Xenopus tropicalis: one gene and its partners. The protein of the gene in region 3 interacts with the protein of the main gene of each other region in a pairwise test. Links are inferred from orthologs where the notes say so. Each region holds a gene or a part of one and is shown on either strand. Other genes may lie near its edges.

Evidence for each region. The genes of interacting proteins can lie anywhere in the genome.
Region 1: the proteins of fam161a (region 3) and trim54 interact in binary tests that used the Homo sapiens proteins (3 or more experiments, as listed by UniProt). The two-hybrid records come from large-scale screens. The link is inferred for Xenopus tropicalis from reciprocal best matches to the Homo sapiens genes FAM161A and TRIM54.
Region 2: the proteins of fam161a (region 3) and lzts2 interact in binary tests that used the Homo sapiens proteins (3 or more experiments, as listed by UniProt). The two-hybrid records come from large-scale screens. The link is inferred for Xenopus tropicalis from reciprocal best matches to the Homo sapiens genes FAM161A and LZTS2.
Region 4: the proteins of fam161a (region 3) and ppfia1 interact in binary tests that used the Homo sapiens proteins (3 or more experiments, as listed by UniProt). The link is inferred for Xenopus tropicalis from reciprocal best matches to the Homo sapiens genes FAM161A and PPFIA1.
Region 5: the proteins of fam161a (region 3) and ccdc57 interact in binary tests that used the Homo sapiens proteins (3 or more experiments, as listed by UniProt). The two-hybrid records come from large-scale screens. The link is inferred for Xenopus tropicalis from reciprocal best matches to the Homo sapiens genes FAM161A and CCDC57.

Annotation. Positions count from the first base shown.
Region 1 is NC_030681.2:162,391,351-162,394,850, forward strand, and holds part of trim54 (tripartite motif-containing protein 54), read right to left. Parts: intron 1,619-3,500; coding exon 1,447-1,618; intron 1,272-1,446; coding exon 1,176-1,271; intron 904-1,175; coding exon 670-903; intron 1-669. UniProt on the Homo sapiens protein: May bind and stabilize microtubules during myotubes formation.
Region 2 is NC_030683.2:29,786,038-29,789,537, reverse strand, and holds part of lzts2 (leucine zipper putative tumor suppressor 2 homolog), read right to left. Parts: intron 1,987-3,500; 5' UTR 1,948-1,986; coding exon 1,465-1,947; intron 1-1,464. UniProt on the Homo sapiens protein: Negative regulator of katanin-mediated microtubule severing and release from the centrosome. Required for central spindle formation and the completion of cytokinesis.
Region 3 is NC_030681.2:33,455,251-33,459,454, reverse strand, and holds the start of fam161a (protein FAM161A), read right to left. Parts: upstream 2,801-4,204; 5' UTR 2,770-2,800; coding exon 2,605-2,769; intron 1-2,604. UniProt on the Homo sapiens protein: Involved in ciliogenesis.
Region 4 is NC_030680.2:14,532,028-14,535,527, reverse strand, and holds part of ppfia1 (liprin-alpha-1), read right to left. Parts: intron 3,495-3,500; coding exon 3,260-3,494; intron 540-3,259; coding exon 438-539; intron 1-437. UniProt on the Homo sapiens protein: May regulate the disassembly of focal adhesions. May localize receptor-like tyrosine phosphatases type 2A at specific sites on the plasma membrane, possibly regulating their interaction with the extracellular environment and their association with substrates.
Region 5 is NC_030686.2:27,518,148-27,521,647, forward strand, and holds part of ccdc57 (coiled-coil domain-containing protein 57), read right to left. Parts: intron 178-3,500; coding exon 69-177; intron 1-68. UniProt on the Homo sapiens protein: Pleiotropic regulator of centriole duplication, mitosis, and ciliogenesis. Critical interface between centrosome and microtubule-mediated cellular processes. Centriole duplication protein required for recruitment of CEP63, CEP152, and PLK4 to the centrosome.

The sequences.
Region 1 (3,500 bases), about 130 Mb from region 3:
TGTAAGGGCAGTCAGGTTATGGGGTTCCTACCCAGAGAGGGGGAATGAGTGATACATTGGGGGTGGGGAGGAAAGGGGATCTCACCATCAGCATAGGAAGGGGTTCCTTACTGTAAGGGCAGTCAGGTTATGGGGTTCCCTACCCAGAGAGGGGAATGAGTGATACATTGGGGGTGGGGAGGAAAGGGGATCTCACCAATCAGCATAGGAAGGGGTTCCTTACTGTAAGGGCAGTCAGGTTATGGGGTTCCCTACCAAGAGAGGGGGAATGGAGTGATACATTGAAGGTGGGGAGGAAAGGGGATCTCACCATCAGCATAGGAAGGGTTCCTTACTGTAAGGGCAGTCAGGTTATGGGTTCCCTACCAAGAGAGGGGGGATGAGTGATACATTGGGGGTGGGAGGAAAGGGGATCTCACCATCAGCATAGGAAGGGGTTCCTTACTGTAAGGGGCAGTCAGGTTATGGGGTTCCCTACCAAGAGAGGGGGAATGAGTGATACATTGGGGGTGGGGAGGAAAGGGGATCTCACCATCAGCATAGGAAGGGGTTCCTTACTGTAAGGGCAGTCAGGTTATGGGGTTCCCTACCAAGAGAGGGGGAATGAGTGATACATTGGGGGTGGGGAGGAATGGGGATCTCACCATCAGCATAGGAGGGGCTCTGTACCTGCAGGAAGGCTGCCATTTGTGGCTCCTCCATGGACTGAATGGAAGACTCTACCAGTTTGGAGGTGCCCTCTAGGTGGTCCCCATGCTTGCGGATGAGCCCCCGCACACACTGCAGTTTCTCCTCCTGTTGCCGGGTAACCACTTGCAGCAGTTCCTTCTTGCGCTCCTCCAGGATGTTATAGAGGGAGTCGAAGCGTTGGCTGAGGAGCTGCTTCTGCCGGCGGCTGTTATCCTGCAGGGGATTGGGCACAAGGTACCGTCACAGCTCTGCCATTAGTAATCATGGGTACGCAGGCCCCTCCCCCAGGGAGCCCCAGTTAGTAGCACATTGGTCCTGTAGGGCACCCTGAGAGGCGAACCCTGCCAAATACAAATGGGTCCCCAAAGAAAAGAGCCCCCCTCTGATCCCTCCTCATCTGAAAACACCCCCATTATGCATCTCCCACACTGACTCCACCCACTCTATTACAAACCCCGCCCTGCCCATGGGGCCCTCAGACTCACCTCGATGCTCTTGCAGATCTCCTCCATCTGGGAGATGATCGCCTGGATCCGGTCGTTTCCTGCCACCAGCATGGCAATGCCGTCACTCAGCTCACTCTGGGGGTACAGCAATATCAGGTGACCCCACATTCCCCACTACATTTTGCATCAATAAGATCACTGTGATTGGCTGAGTTGAAGCTGATCCCCAATGTAGTGCCCTATGATTGGCTCCAGCATGAGGTTAATGATATAGGGCCCCAAACCCCTCCCATTCCCCGCCCCCTGGTACCTTCTGTCGTTTGTAGATGTTGGAGAGAGGGGCCACCTCGCAGTCTTTATGGGCCCCAAACACTTTGCACATAGAGCAGGTCGGTACCTCGCAGCTCAGGCAGTAGATGTTGATCTTCTCATCCTCATGTTCCTCACACATGAGGTGCTGCTCAGATTTGGGGTTCATGGGCCTAGGCAGGGGGGGAATACAGTTCAGAAAGGATTTGGTGCTGGTTTGCCCTTCTATGTAGTGACTACTCTTTACCCTACAGGGCTTAATCTTTATGCGTATGGTCTACTGGGAGTTAAGTTGGCTTGAGCCTTCCCTCGGGGGTGTTGCCCCGCTCCTCAGGGTGACTGGGGGGGCTCTCCCTGTCTATCCTTGGCTTGAGCCTTCCCTCGGGGGTGTTGCCCCGCTCCTCAGGGTGACTGGGGGGGCTCTCCCTGTCTATCTTGCTTGAGCCTTCCCTCGGGGGTGTTGCCCCGCTCCTCAGGGTGACTGGGGGGGCTCCTCCCTGTCTATCCTTGGCTTGAGCCTTCCCTCGGGGTGTTGCCCCGCTCCTCAGGGTGACTGGGGGGGCTCTCCCTGTCTATCCTTGGCTTGAGCCTTCCCTCGGGGGTGTTGCCCCGCTCCTCAGGGTGACTGGGGGGGCTCTCCCTGTCTATCCTTGGCTTGAGCCTTCCCTCGGGGTGTTGCCCCGCTCCTCAGGGTGACTGGGGGGGGGGCTCTCCCTGTCTATCCTTGGCTTGAGCCTTCCCTCGGGGGTGTTGCCCCGCTCCTCAGGGTGACTGGGGGGGCTCTCCCTGTCTATCCTTGGCTTGAGCCTTCCCTCGGGGTGTTGCCCCGCTCCTCAGGGGTGACTGGGGGGGGGGCTCTCCCTGTCTATCCTTGGCTTGAGCCTTCCCTCGGGGGTGTTTGCTCTGCTCCTCAGGGTGAACTGGGGGGGCTCTCCTGTCTATCCTTGGCTTGAGCCTTCCCTCGGGGTGTTGCCCCGCTCCTCAGGGTGACTGGGGGGGGGCTCTCCCTGTCTATCCTTGGCTTGAGCCTTCCCTCGGGGGTGTTGCTCTGCTCCTCAGGGTGACTGGGGGGGCTCTCCCTGTCTATCCTTGGTTTGAGCCTTCCCTCGGGGGTGTTGCCCCCGCTCCTCAGGGTGACTGGGGGGGGCTCTCCCTGTCTATCCTTGGCTTGAGCCTTCCCTCGGGGGTGTTGCCCCGCTCCTCAGGGTGACTGGGGGGGCTCTCCCTGTCTATCCTTGCTTGAGCCTTCCTCGGGGTGTTGCCCCGCTCCTCAGGGTGACTGGGGGGGCTCTCCCTGTCTATCCTTGGCTTGAGCCTTCCTCGGGGGTGTTGCCCACTCCTCAGGGTGACTGGGGGGGGCTCTCCCTGTCTATCCTTGGCTTGAGCCTTCCCTCGGGGTGTTGCCCCGCTCCTCAGGGTGACTGGGGGGGCTCTCCCTGTCTATCCTTGGCTTGAGCCTTCCCTCGGGGGTGTTGCCCCGCTCCTCAGGGTGACTGGGGGGGCTCTCCCCTGTCTATCCTTGGCTTGAGCTTCCCTCGGGGGTGTTTGCCCCGTCCTCAGGGTGACTGGGGGGGCTCTCCCTGTCTATCCTTGGCTTGAGCCTTCCCTCGGGGTGTTGCCCCGCTCCTCAGGGTGACTGGGGGGGGCTCTCCCTGTCTATCCTTGGCTTGAGCCTTCCCTCGGGGGTGTTGCCCGCTCCTCAGGGTGACTGGGGGGCTCTCCCTGTCTATCCTTGGCTTGAGCCTTCCCTCGGGGGTGTTGCCCCGCTCCTCAGGGTGACTGGGGGGGCTCTCCCTGTCTATCCTTGGCTTGAGCCTTCCTCGGGGTGTTGCCCCGCTCCTCAGGGTGACTGGGGGGGCTCTCCCTGTCTATCCTTGGCTTGAGCCTTCCCTCGGGGTGTTGCCCCGCTCCTCAGGGTGACTGGGGGGCTCTCCCTGTCTATCCTTGGCTTGAGCTTCCTCGGGGGTGTTGCCCCGCTCCTCAGGGTGACTGGGGGGGGGGCTCTCCCTGTCTATCCTTGGCTTGAGCCTTCCCTCGGGGGTGTTGCCCCGCTCC
Region 2 (3,500 bases), on a different chromosome or scaffold from region 3:
CAGATCACATGTCTGCATGGGCAACTAATACTATTGGGGGTCTGTAACAACTGATCCAAGACCTTTATTAGCAACTAGTCTAATTGCATAAGCCAGCAGCTAGAAGTTGTCTGACCAGGGCAAATTTGAATGCTCTACTGTATGTGTATTAAACCTTCCAGAAGGAACACGAGTTTATCTATATACAATGTTCTGTACTGGTTTAATTCAGGCATCCTACAGCGCCCGTACTAAGACGGGAGATGCTTAGGTAACAGCACCTATCATTACTCAGAGGATGTGGAACAGGAACTAAAAGCTGCCTTTAATTGACGTGCTGGACTTGCCCATTTGAATTGCACATTTCAGGAGGGATTTGTAATTATGAGCTAAAAATAAAGCAGTAAGTGAACAGAAACACTAAGCTCTATGCTTGACTGGGATTTCCGATCCCACCTCCAGCCTTTAAGATTAGATATAAATGCGTCAAAAGAATCCCTAAAACACCTAGAAAAATAACAAGCTGCAAATTGTGTATTTTACGGGATTTACGGGAAGCTGCCGGAATAAAGGAAACGCCAGTATAAAAGCTGATGCATCATCATTAGGTGTTTTGTTTGAAATTTGACAATGTAAATAGCCCACAGCCCAACATTGTGCAAATATGCAAATAGCTGTAATTGTAAGCTTTGTGCTAATTGCAGTCCTACCTACTGACTGCTACTTTCTGTCTGTCCCATAGTGGGGCTTTAGGGGTCACACACAAGGCCTTTCCACTGACCTGCTGTCTTCCACCCTCACTAAAATCACAATGGAATGGATGGCCCCGTCCCCTTCTCAACCTAGAGATTTATTTGGAAATAACCATATTTTTAAAATGCCTTTAGTTGGATCATGGGGGGCACTATTCCATGAAATAAACTGAAGGCCAAATACACAGGCGAGTAGAGCACTAGTTGACTGCTATAAAGGGACTAGTAGATTTAATCAAATAAGTATTTTGGACCATATACTCTCACCAACTTTTAGTATGTTATAATGTACTATTTCTAGCAACTTTGCATTTGGTCTTCATTTATTTTTTTTTATACTTTGAATTATTTGCCTGCTTCACCTACATCTTTCCAGCTTTCACATGGGGGTCACTGACCCCATCAGCCAAAAATAAAAGTTACATTTTATTTCTTATCTATTTAGTTGCTCTTCTATTCATATTCCTGTCTCTCATTCCCACCACTGCCTGGTTGCTAAGGTAAACAAGACCCTAGCAACCAGATAGCTGCTGAAATTCCAAACTAGAGATCTGCTGAACAAAAATCTAAATAACTGAAAAAAAACTACAAAAAATAAAAAAGGAAAACTAACTACAAATTGTCCCAGAATATCAACATCTACATCATGCTAAAAGTTGATATCAGGGAAAACATGCCCTTCAAAAAAAATGAATGAATACATATTTGCACCCAATAACCAATCAACTATTACCTTTTCTAATTTGCCAGAGACTGGGATGAGTTTGGGGGGAGGCCCTCTTATATTCCCATTAAGAGCTCTCTCTTCCCGAATATCTTCAGCATCACTAGAGGGGCTGATTGGTACTCTAGGTTCATGCCATTCCTCTTTAAAGTCCTCGTTGACGTAGACATAATTCCCATTATTTCCAGAGGTAGTAGTAGAGGGTTTCTTTGTAGGAAGCCCATTAAACAGAGGATCCTGTGAGCTGTAATTACTTTTTATAAGCCCCTCTTGCTGCTTAAAACAGTTTGGCATGTTGGTAGGTTTGCGGCACTTGTTGCTCAATTCAGAGGCCTTGCACTGCTTGTCATGGTATGTCCTCCCAGAGATTAAGCTGCTGACGCTTCCCATGGTGTTCTCTGTGACAGGCGACCTGGTGTTTGTATGGCTTTGGCTACCACTGACCTCAGCGTTTTGGTCAATGGATAATGGAAGAGCTTGCAAGGCAGCCATAGTGTAGATAATCTAAATACAGAGGACTGCATAAACCACCTAGAGAAATACACAAGAGAAAGAACACTTAAATATATGGAAGCTTTACAACATTCCCAATGCATTTCTAATCATACTGCTAAATTCATGTTGCATTTCACTTTACTGAAAAAAGACAATAATAAAAGTTATTCCAGTTTAAGTTCCATGACTTCAGTCTACTGCTACATTCCTTCTGTGTATCAGGGGACCCGTGAGTGACCATAAGTGTTTTTATTATTAAGGCAAAAAAGGCTCAGGTACACCTATGCTATTCTATCATGTCCATTTCTAAAAATATAATTTTACATGTATGGAATCACTTTGAAGCCATTGTCTAAAGCAAAGTACAAAGGTTTCGGGCATTCCATCTCACCAACAATACAACCCTGGTACAAATACAGCTGAGCATTTCCTTATCATATTATTTCCTTCCCATACTGCTCAAGCTAAACACTATAGATAAAGCACACAAGGATTCTTTCATGGAAACGTCTGGAGTTCACCCCAAGCAATTAACTGTAGTTATAAACAGAGAATATCGTTCCCAGGGGAAGCAGAGTGTGCGCTTGTTTGTGGAACAGCGGATATTTGCTGATTTAGCAGATTATCAGTGCTTTATTGCTCACAGTTGCAATTAATCAAATTGTTCTGGATTAGTAAATTGTTTTGTGTTAATGAAGAATACTCTATTTGCCAATCTTTGAATAAAGCCAGAGTATATATATTACTCAGGTACTTCAGGTGAATAGCACACAATGGTTTAGGTGGCTAAGCTGTCACGTTACTGCCTGAAACCATTTGTTGGCTGTCGCAGTGACCAATCATGCCGAGTAAAACAACAACTGAGAAGCAGACATGTTATACGACCCAATAAGTAAGAAAATCCATCAGTAAATAACACACAAGCATTTTCTGTGTTACCATTTGTGGTCTTCCTTTAGGGAAGGTCAGTGATGTCCAACTTAAAGGGGGAGTTTACAACTTAAAATTAACATTAATGATGTAGAGAGTGATATTCTCAGAATATTTGCAATTGGTCTTCATTTTTTATTTGTGTTTTTATTATTTAGCTTCTTGTTTAACTCTCCATTTTAGCACATAGATGGGTAACCAGGTGGTGGTTTTAAAACTGGAAAAGCAATAGGAGAGGGGCTGAATAGAAACTTACATAATAAAAAGTAACAAAAAGTATTTTTGCTGCCAGGGAGAGTGACCCCCATTTGAAATCTGGAAAAAGTCAGAAGAAGAAGGCAAATAATTTAAAAACTATATAAAATAAAAGATAAAGACCAATAAAAAAAAGTTGCTAAGAATTGACCATTCTATAACATACTAAAAGTTAACTACCCCTTTAAAAACGATAATCGGTCAAATTCAAGTCACATTTTCAATGGTACAGGCTTATGTAACAGGGCCAACAGGAACATCCAAACACCAAACATGGGGGAGAGTTGGACTCTTCTATTCTTCAGTGGCATAGGGGGGAGCATGTGTGCACCATTCCTGGCTAAGGCACACTGTCATCTAGCAAC
Region 3 (4,204 bases):
CACAGCATACACCATAATAAGCTTACACTGCTAACAGATATAGCCTGTAATCTCTTGTGGGCAGGGCCTGTTGCATCTCTTGTTTCAGTCTCCCATTATCTCTGTTTATTAGTCATTTCCTTGCACATCACTGGTTAATTTGAGATATATATTTATATATATATATAAACTGTATAAAGAAAAAAAATTTATAATATAGGAAAATTTAACAGAGCATCATAAGCTTATATCTACATATAACAGAAATATAATAAATGAATGGGCAGGGATTAAAGGACAACACAGACAAATTCACCGTGGAGATGCCAATTTGTTACCAGCCTCACGGACTCCTGTGGGTGCTACTCATCTTTGAAAAATGTTTTTATTAAAGCACAGAGCTGCCATCTTTTGCTTCTATTTTCCCATTTATTGCATTCACGTGCATTGATTTAGATGCAAGTAAGTGTGTTCTTGTAAGTTCAACAGTCATTTCTTCATTCTATTACATTCTGAACGTGCGTCAAATGCACAAATATAGTAAGTAATTTTAAAACCACTGAAAACCTTTCATTAACATATTTGCTTAAAATTACATTTTCTTTTATTGTACAAAAATACTAGTTGCAGGGATCCACTATTTTCGGATTCATCCAAACCCCGAACCCTTCGTAAAAGATTTGTCCAAATACCGAACCAAATCCAAATTTGCATATGTAAATTAGGACACGGAAGGGTTAACGAGTGCAGCAAAAAATGTTCAACTTCCGTATTTATGTGACAAAAAGTGTTTTTAAGGATTCAGATTTGGTTTGGCCAGGAGCGTGGATTCAGCTGAATATGAATCCTGCTGAAAAAGGCTGAATCTTGGCCAAATCCTAAACCGAATCCTGGATTTGGTGCATCCGTAACTAGTTGTCAATGTTTTACTTGTGTTAAGTGTGACATGAATGTAAGTTTTGGGACAGGTCCATACTCTCCCCCACTCCCTGTACGCTTTCCTTCTCCAGATATAATGACTATGAGATCTCTTTTCAGCCCTGCAGATTTTATAGACATTGAGACAACACCATCACGGGTTTGCCAGTGCTCTGCTTAATTCAGTAAATTGCTTCCCAGCTAATGCTCTATAGTCACTAAAAATAACTACCAATCTAATCCTCTTTTAAACGGGATCCCCTACATTGTAGCTTATACTGTTCAGCTTTTCACCATTATTAGCATGTAAATGTAACTGATGTGCCAAATAGCACTCTGTATAATTAGCACTGGCATCACATGATCCCATCTGTTAATTAACCGGTGCCGAATAGGCTTATAAAATAAACACCAGATGACAGGCTAGAGATAATTCCCAGAGCATGCTGCCCTTCCATGCCCAGGCTAACTAAGTAATACAGCGATGTCAAACCTGCGGCCCTCCAGCGATTGTTTAACTACATCTCCCATCAGCAGGGTCAGCAGCCTCTGTTACTTTTTTGTAAACATTATCCCAATGAGTAGCACCCCCCAAGTGGAGTCGGAGTCAGAAGCAACTACTGAGTAGCTGAAGGATTTATGTAAAGACTCCATAGACTGGCCAGGGCTGTGGAGTCAGATTTGTAGAGTCAGAAGCAAATTTGGGTACCTGGAGTCTGAAGTACCATAAACTGAGGAGTCACTGGATATATGTACCAACTCCAAAGCCCTGCCCTATAATTGCACCTTAGGCACATGCCCCTTCTGCCTACCCCTAGTTCTGGGCTTACCTACCATTCTTCAACATATAACAAAGGAGTTGTGGGGCCAGCAACACTTGGGAACCCAAAGGTTCTGTTCCAAACAGAGTTCTAATGTTTGCCGCCTGTGCCCAACTCATATGCCTACTGTCTATAAGTTACAGCAGAACAAACCAGGCTGTAAACCCCAAAATACCATGTTTGCCTAATAAAAAACGTAAATCTACGAAACTTTCCAACAGAAATTCATAAACATTTTTCAATGGTCTTAAAGAGATACTGACACCAGAAAGTAAATCTTTTTTTTTACATCTATAATAACATTGTCTTTGCAAGAACTTTAGAATTTTGCCATAAAAATATTTGCCTGATGCGTTTACATTACCTGTCTGATCCTCGGTTCCTCTAAGTGGGGGCAGCCATATTTGTCTGTTAGCATTAGAAGCTGTAACTGACAGGCTGGGAAGGGACAGTCAGGTTGGCAAAACAGTCAGGTGTAGGAACTTCAAGTAACAATTACTTACAAAAGCAAACCTGTCAGCGAGACACCATCAACATGACCTATAGGTAACTTTTTATGTATATTCATATTTTAAAGTGAACTGTAAATGTAATTGCCATTTAGATCTGTCTAATGAAGCACTGTAGCAGCAGCCACTTGCCTGTTCCTAGCCCTGTCTGTGAATCAGCTGCCCTCTGCTACATTGTTTCACTAGTTACAACCAGCAGTTTGACAGATGAAGCTATCAAAAGAAGTTCTACTTACAAATAACTTTAACACAATGGGACATTTGTAATAAATATATTTGTATATATAAGTTTAGCTCAGAGATAAATTGTTAAGAAGTTTGCTATCTTTAGGTTTCTATGAGCTTTAATATTCCAGCTGTAAGAATAGTATCCATACCATTGATGTTCTTGGAAGTCTCTGGGGTGAGACAGAGGCAGTTCGTTGTTGTTGCCTTTCCCCCAACTCCCGTTCGTACAGGGCAAGCGGTGCTTTGGTGTAGGGGTTCACAGGGGTCCTCACACAGGCGGCAGCGAGCACTGATTCCTTGTGAGCCTGCGCCATATTGGCACGGAACCTTCAGCTTTGGCCGCTGCCTGGCAACCGCCGACGCTACGGAGTCTGCGAGAGACCAACCTCTAAAGCGATCACAAACTGAAGCCACGCCACATGGCATGAGAGAAAGGAGACAATAACCTAGAGCGCGCTGTTTTCAGAGCAGCAACTGGCGCAGGCTTCCAGAGTTTTGCATCCAGCTTTAGTTTATCTGCCGCAGAATGAGACTAATGATGGTGGAAATGCGAGTGCTTAGGGTACTCCCAAAGGCAGAGCATAACCAGCTCCAAACTTCAGCCCACACATATACATTTGGCGACATCTAAAGCGCCGGCTGCCAACACAATACTCTAGCTCCGCTTTCCTATAGGGCGCTCTAGCGATAGTGCCCACCCTGCGCTCTGATTGGCTGAGGCGAGAGCACTACAGCCCCCTCCGCACGGATTTGGAAGAGAGCGGATAATAATCCCGGTAGGGGCGGAATAATGCACAAAGTGCAGTTATTAGTTTATTTGCCTTCAGATAGCTTTTCATATGCCCGTGGTTTTTAATTTGTGTGCCCAAGAGCCAGAGAAGGGGTGGGTAAGGCTCATAAGGGTGACCATAGGAGGTGCCTACTTACTTACAAAGGCTCATTGTTGAATTTAGGGTGATCTCTTCTTTTTTTACGCTAGACCTTCCTGGCATTAAGGTTAAACTATTAAAGTTGTAATACATTTCAAAGCATTGTGGGAACTGTAATCTTACTGAATAGCATCCTTTATTTTCTGTAAATTACTTTTTGGGTGCTTGATCATAATTTAGGAGCATTATAAATAGCACTTGACTATACTCCTATGGCATGTGTGTACCTTTCATGTATATTTATGTTATTTTACACAAACAAATTAAGGTTACACATACCTTAAAGGAGACATATCTTATAAAAATAATGAATGTACCAGTGAATTATACTCCTCTAGACATAGAAGGAATGTGCTTTAAAAAGTTGTATTTCAGACTGATTTATTGAGAAATTCCCCCAAACCCCACTAGCCCCGCCCATCTGTTCCACTTCCTGCTGGCTGAATTCTTTGGATGTGCAGGGGGTGCCAGCGGCCCTCCATAAACTGCACTGTAGGATAGGAACCAATCAGCAGCTAGGCTGACCTGATAGGGAACTGAAGCCTGTCTGTGCTTGTGTGAGTGCAGGGCTGTGATTGGCTCTCCTCCTCCTACTGTGCTTCTGGCAGGGACTGTTGGGACACGCCCACTCTTCATTTCTATAGGGAGCTCCAATAAAGAGGCCATTGTTACAGAGAGGATTAATTTTTAGCACAAAGTGAAATCAGCACCATATATTATTCATAATTGCCTACAAAATTAGCGTTTTTCCCCTTTATCCAATATGTCTCCTTTAATGTAAAATCATTCAGAATATCCTTCCGAGCACTTTTGCAATTTA
Region 4 (3,500 bases), on a different chromosome or scaffold from region 3:
ACCAATGCCTCCCGTATACCTGTTACAGACCTGTATTTGCCACGGACACAGCTTCTGCCCACCAAATATCAGGAGTTGATGGTGCACTTGGGCAATGGGCCGCAGTCCCAGAAAATTGAGTAATAATAATAATGTAAGCAATGCCCCAATCTATCTGTAATTTGCCCAGGCCCCTAGCCTAATGGCAACTACCTGCCCACAGGGTAGCCCCACCCTAATGTGAGGTCAGTGGCAGATAGTTCTACTTACCCTGCAATCCTACCAATTGGGTTGGAACTTGCTCAAAGTGGACATCCCCATTAAGATTACATTGTGAGGAAAAGCACACCATTCACACACAGACAGTTTAGCAGCATATATATAAATATAAATAATAAAGACACACAGGTGACACTGAAAGGGGGGGGGGAGTGAAGGAAAGACAATGGGATCTTTACCTGGGATGAGTGAGATGAGTCGGGGCAGGAGGGGGAATTGCTAGGAGGGGAGCTGGATGAATGAACTACAGACACACTGGGAACTGAGTCAGAAGATGAAGGCTAAAATAATATACACAAAAAAAAAGCAATTAAGTACTGGGGGGGGATAATAATGCCCTACTATGCCAGTCATGCTAACCTAAAGTGCAGATAATTGTCTCTACGTATGTACATCTCAGTATTGTCTATGGCAGGGTATTTTCTGGCGTTTTGTAGCTGTAAAAAAAGACCTGCTACTAGTAGCTCAGCATGTCTTCATCATTAAAGGGGTTGTTCACCTTTAAAGGAGACATATGCTATAGAAATTCTGAATGTACCAATGAATTATAGATATAGAATAATTGTGCTTAAAAAAAGTTGTATGTTCAGACTGATTTATTGAGAAATTCCACCAAAACCCCACTAGCCCCGCCCATCTGTTCCACTTCCTGCCGGCTGAATTCTCGGGATGTGCAGGGGGGCTCTCATTACTCTGCTCTGTAGGATAGGAGCCAATCAGCAGCTAGGCTGACCTAATAGGGAACTGAAGCCTGCCTTTGCTTGTGTGAGTGCAGGGCTGTGATTGGCTGTCCCCCTCCTACTGTGCTTCTGGCAGGGACTGTTAGGACACGCCCACCCTTCATTTCAAGCAGGGACAGAGAACTGATAGGATCTATAGGGAGCTCCAATAAAGGGGCCATTTTTACAGATCGGATTAAATTTAGGGGTTTTTCCCATGTATCCATTATGACTCCTTCTGTACTCTTCTGAGTCAATTTGCAACTGGTCTTCATTTATTATTATTTGTGATATATATATTTAGCTTTTTATTCAGCAGCTCTCCAGTTTGGAATTTTAGCTGCTATCTGGTTGCTAGGGTCCAAGCTACCACAGCAACTAGGCATCGCTTTGAATCAAATGGGATATGAATAGGGGAGGACCTGAATAGAAAGATAAGATATAAAATGTAACGATAACAATAAAATTGTAGCCTCACAGGGCAATAGTTGTTTGACCCCATTTGAATGTTCAAAAGAGGTAGAAGGTGGTATATAATTCAAAAACAATAAATAAAAAAAAAAAATGAAGACCAGTTGAAAAGCTGCTTAGAATTAGCCATTCTATAACATAGTTAACTTAAAGGTGAACCGCCACTTTGAAAACATATAGGTCATTAATTCTACACCAATCCTGGGCACCAGCACTGAATGTAAAACTATATATTGGTGCCCTTTAGAATAGCAAGGGAACCCTGTATTCGCCAGAGTTGGGGAGATTCTATCCCATACATATGTCCCATGCAGGGCTCTGTGAGCACATTTCATTGACACTGGCTTAACCCTGTGTGTAAGTCCGTATTTAAGAATTAATTCTGTCTCTTTTATGGAACTCAATGACAAAACACTTATTTACAATTATGTTCTCCTATTATTCAGATGTTAGTGGCCGATTATTCAGGACTCGGCAGCCCTGCTGATGTATATAACACCGTCCTTCACAGAAGGCGACACAAGCAGGGGGAAGAATAATGAACGTTAGAGGAATGACTGGCATAGTGTGACGGGAAGGCAGGGTGATAAACAAGGAACGCACAGGGGGGTTATGCAATGTGCTAGTAATAATGATTGTAATGTACTAAGTACTTATGGGGGAGGGAAGATCCTTACAAGCAGCATGAAGGATAAGTAAACCTTGTGAATGTACAATTGATGAGTTCAAGTGTAAGCACTTTTTCAATTTACATTCATTATTTTTTTTTCTTAATTCCAGGATATTAAGGGATGAAGTACTGTCAAAATTAGTGAATTGTCACATCAGCGCCACCTGCTGGACATTTTCTGACTATGATGTAGTCAAGGCAGTTGTCAAGAAAAACATTAGAAACCTCAGATAACGTCTCACGTCTTCCCTAACAAGGAAAACATCAGCTCAGCCCTCTTTATTTCTTCCTAGACCAGGAATCCTCAAACTATGGCCTGCGGGCCGGATACGGTCCCCCAAGGTTATTTACCCAGCCCCCACTATGATCTGATGCAAGGAAGCTGTGGGAAGATGCAGCGGGGAGCCAGAGAACGCAGCGGGGAGCAGGCTATAGTAAGAGTACATGGGGGTAGGACTTTAGTCCGGCCCACCAACAGTCTGAGGGACAATGAAATGGCCCTCTGCTTAAAAAGTATGAGGACCCCTGTCCTAGACAAACAGCATGGTGTGAAGCTGACCAGCAGGTGGCGCTGTGGTAACAAAATGTATTCATATTGACAGTACTTTATCCCTTATTATATTGGAATTAAAAATAAAAAATGCATGTACATTGCAAACGTGCTTAGAATAGCACTCATCAATTTCACATTCACTTGTTTTAAAGGTTTACTGATACGGCTCACATCAGTTTCTCTATAGAATTTTTCCGAGCTGGGGATAGCCAAGCCTTTGACTGAGGATGCCTGTGGGATACGGCTGGCTATCTGTGTTTAACAGTCAATGTATCCTACTGACAGCAGAGTAATTCCTTTCCAGTACAGTATTTGCTCTAGCGTGCTAACAATATAGCAATCCATCATCAATGGAACATTCAGTTGCATTACTCTTTGGTGTTTACTAGCACAGCAATGTCAGTCTGTCTTATATTAATGTGATAATGCAGATTCCATTCTGTACCTATTATAAAGCCATAAAGCAACACTGAACCACCCAGTTGTACAAAGAAGCCATTCTGTAATTAAGAGAGCAGTTATGCTACTACATACCCTGACTTTTTATCGCTAGAGTATATAAATACACATGCTCAAATGAGGACTTACCAGTGTCATGACACCCAGCCTATCCACTTCCCGGGCTGGACTATGGGGTATTCTTCTTGGAGTTGAGCGACCACTGCCAGGAGGAGAGGATCCGGCAAGAGAAGTACCACCAGTAAAAGGGGGAATTGAAGTGATGGACCTGAAACGGCCCAAATTATCTAGGCTCCCACTCCCAACCCGGGATTCAATCTCCTCTGCTCGCTGCTCTGTGGTCTCCTTCTCTTCCTGTATTAATCTAACC
Region 5 (3,500 bases), on a different chromosome or scaffold from region 3:
AAAATGCTTAATATCTCCTTATCCCACAAATTAAACAGGTTATTAACTAGTTCCTATGATCATCTCACCTGTTTTTGTAAATCCAGATCACTTTGCACGTCCACAATTTTCCTCTCCAGTTGGCATTTGACTTTCTCATACCCCTCTCGACAGTGATCAATTTCGGCGTTTTTAGAGCTGAAAGAGTATTTATTGGTAATAGGTTTACATGCTTCTGGAAAGAGTTACTGCAGTTATATAATTTCATTTTTATGTTTTATTTGTTTTATTGTTTCCTCAACTCAGAGTGCCCTGATTGGTGCCCTTTAAAGGAGAAGGAAAGGCAAAGTCACTTGGGGGTGCCAAAATGTTAGGCACCCCCAAGTGACTTCAATAGCTTACCCTTTACCCCGGGCTGGTGCCCCTGTTCAGAGAGAACAGTACCAGCCCGGGGTAGCTGCCAGCGTTTCCTTCTTCCTGGTTCACTGCACGCGAGTGAAAAGCCGAACTTTAACAGAAGAAGTCGGCTAACATTTTGGCACCCCCAAGTGACTTTGCCTTTCCTTCTCCTTTAAAGGGCACCAATCAGGGCACTCTGAGTTGAGGAAACAATAGTAACATAGGTTGAAAATAGAAAATATCCGCTAGTTAAAAAAACAGACTCATAGATGGCAATCGGACCATATTACTGGTCCTCTAATCCTTGTTCACTATACCCACTGCAGTTGTATTACTGTGTTAATGTGGAGGGCAATGATGCACAGTATAACGATGTTTGTGCTTACTGATTATTAGCAAAACACATTATGCAGGGCAGAGTAATTCAGCCTCAAAAAAGTAAAACTAAAGTGTGACCGTTCCAAAATAAATACCTGAGCTTTTTCATTCTAGCCCCTTCATCTGAAAAAAATGGACAAATAAATCCAGATGCTTTAATCTGGTTCATATTATAATGTCTGGATTAAACAGGTTGCTAATCTTAAAGTCCCCATACATTGGCGATGTCGCCAAGTGAGCGGATCTTCTCCCGATATCCCCCACCTACAGGTGGGCGATATCGGGAGAATCCAGGGTAATTCGATCGTTTGGCCCTGGGGCCAAACGATCGAATTATAATGACGGGCATAGGTAAAGTTGGTCCGGGGACCACATCAACGAGCCGATGCGGTCCTCGATCAGACTAGATTTTCTAACCTGCCCGATCGAGATCTGGCCGATTTCAGGCCAGATATCGGTCGGGAAGGTCCGTCGGAAGTTCCCATACACGGACCGATTAGCTGCCAAATCGGTCCAAGGGACCGATATCGGCGGCTACTATCGGCCAGTGTATGGGGACCTTTACACTAGGCCACTATTTGGATACCAGAGGAGCTGGACATTGGAAACAGTAGTCCAGTCACTTTGTATTGTAGTCAACTGAAATTACCACATAAATGCTGCAGCTGAACAGCTGTGACCTTAAAACACAGATAAGTACATTGCCATGCAACAATCATGCAGGTTTGCCAGTTCCACAATGGAAAAGGATTGTAGGCAAATGCAGGTGAGAAAAGTTACAGCTATTATTTTGCTGAGAAATTTACTAGTGTGAAAGTTGCCAAATAATAGCATAGTAATAAAAAAAAATTAAAGTATTAGTGTAATAGTGTAACATCCTACCTGAGTTAGAGGTGGTATAATATCACAAAGAGAAAGTCAAAAGTTGCCTATCCTTGTGATGGCAATGACCAGAAACATTGCATCATATATCAAAAGAATCTTCTATACTGGCATAAAAATATCTATCCTAAAATAAGATTAGTAAAATATTGTACATAAACCCAAATCTGATGCAACCCTAAATGGGAGAGTACAGCACATAAGTCAGATTCTATCCTCTGAAACCGTTTAATACAACACCAGCGTCAATTAAAAATGAGCCTGCAGTTCCAGTCAAGAATAGGGTTGTCACTTTTCCATGGCCGTAAATTTGGGTGGGGGGGCTGAGATGTGGTGTCAGTGGGCGGGGTGTGATATCATAGGGGCGGGGACATAATGTTACATCGGCGGGACTATGATGTGGCGAACGACGATTGGCCAATTTTCTAAATTGGGAAAACCAGGCAGGCAGTTTAGACCCGGACAGCCCTTCCAAAAACCGGGGCAAAACTGGACAGGTGGCAACCCTAGTCAAGAACAAAATCCTGAGCTGGCTACTTACTGTAGTAAGTTAATAAGATTTAAAGGGCACCCTATATTGTTTCTCCCACCAGAGGTGCAGGCTAATAGAGCCCACACTCCAAAAAAAATAACTGCCCCCGCCAGTGCTGAGCACACCAGGAGGGAGCCCATGGGGGGGCAGCCATGTTGGGACACAAGCACAGGGCCAGAACTAGGGGTAGGCAGAAGAGGCAGCTGCTTAGGGCGCTAAACATAGGGGGCGCAGTCAGCATTGCCTCTTCTTGTCTACCCCTCCAACGGCCAGCCACTGATTTTTATTTATATTTGCTCATTACTTCACCTTGGCCCGGAAAGGATTCTAACACCTGATGCACTGACAATATAGGTTGTACCAGCGCGACTCCTTATTATACACGCCTACCAACTTGGCCACCCACACTGGAAGCTCCCTCCCGGCCCGGTGAGGTTTTCTTAAAAAAAACTTATGTTTCCCCCAACTGGAGTGCTAATTCTATTAGCCCACCCTTTTGGTGGGAAAAACAATATAGAGGTCATAGATGCCCTTTAAGTGTCAGAATTAACCTGTTGGCAGTAAAAAGGCAACCGACTATAAAAATATATTTCCAAAATGTGAGGGTTCTTTGCACACCAATAGGTTGCACACATTTTGCTTTTTAAATATTCAGGCATTTTACTTTTAAGGCTATGCGGTGCTGCTTTGCTTGCTGTGTATCTTCCAGCCAATAAAAAATTAGCAATGGTATGAAATTTATGTCCCAGAAATAATAGTGATGTAAGGAAACTTTCATCCTAGGAATTAAGTTTTTGTTTAAAGGAGAAGGCAAGGTAAAAACTAAGTAAGCTTTATCAGAAAGGTCTAATTAAATACATACATAAACACTTAGGGCTGTGACAGACGGGGAGATTAGTAGCAGCGTGACAAATCTCCCCGAAATGCCATCCCACTGGCTAGAATGTAAATCGCAAGTGGGATGGCATACGCGGTGCAGCGAGTTGCTGAAATCGGCAAAGTTGCTTTGAGAGGAAACTTTGGTGATTTCGGCGCCGCGTATGCCATCCCACCGGCGATTTCCATTCTAGCCGGTGGGATGGCATTTTGGGGAGATTAGTCGCCGCCGTCTGTCACAGCCCTTACAGAACTGCTGCTCTGAGCAATCTTATTCTCTAAAACATGATACTAAATGTGATCCCTTTAGGGTTGTATTTAGGTCCAGTGCTGCCCTAGGCACTATACCTATGCTCACTCCCTCTCCTCTCCTGACCCATTGGCCAACAATCAGATCTTAATGCAGGCCTACACAGACTTATAGGGAAAGGACAACATCCACATGCCACTGCAG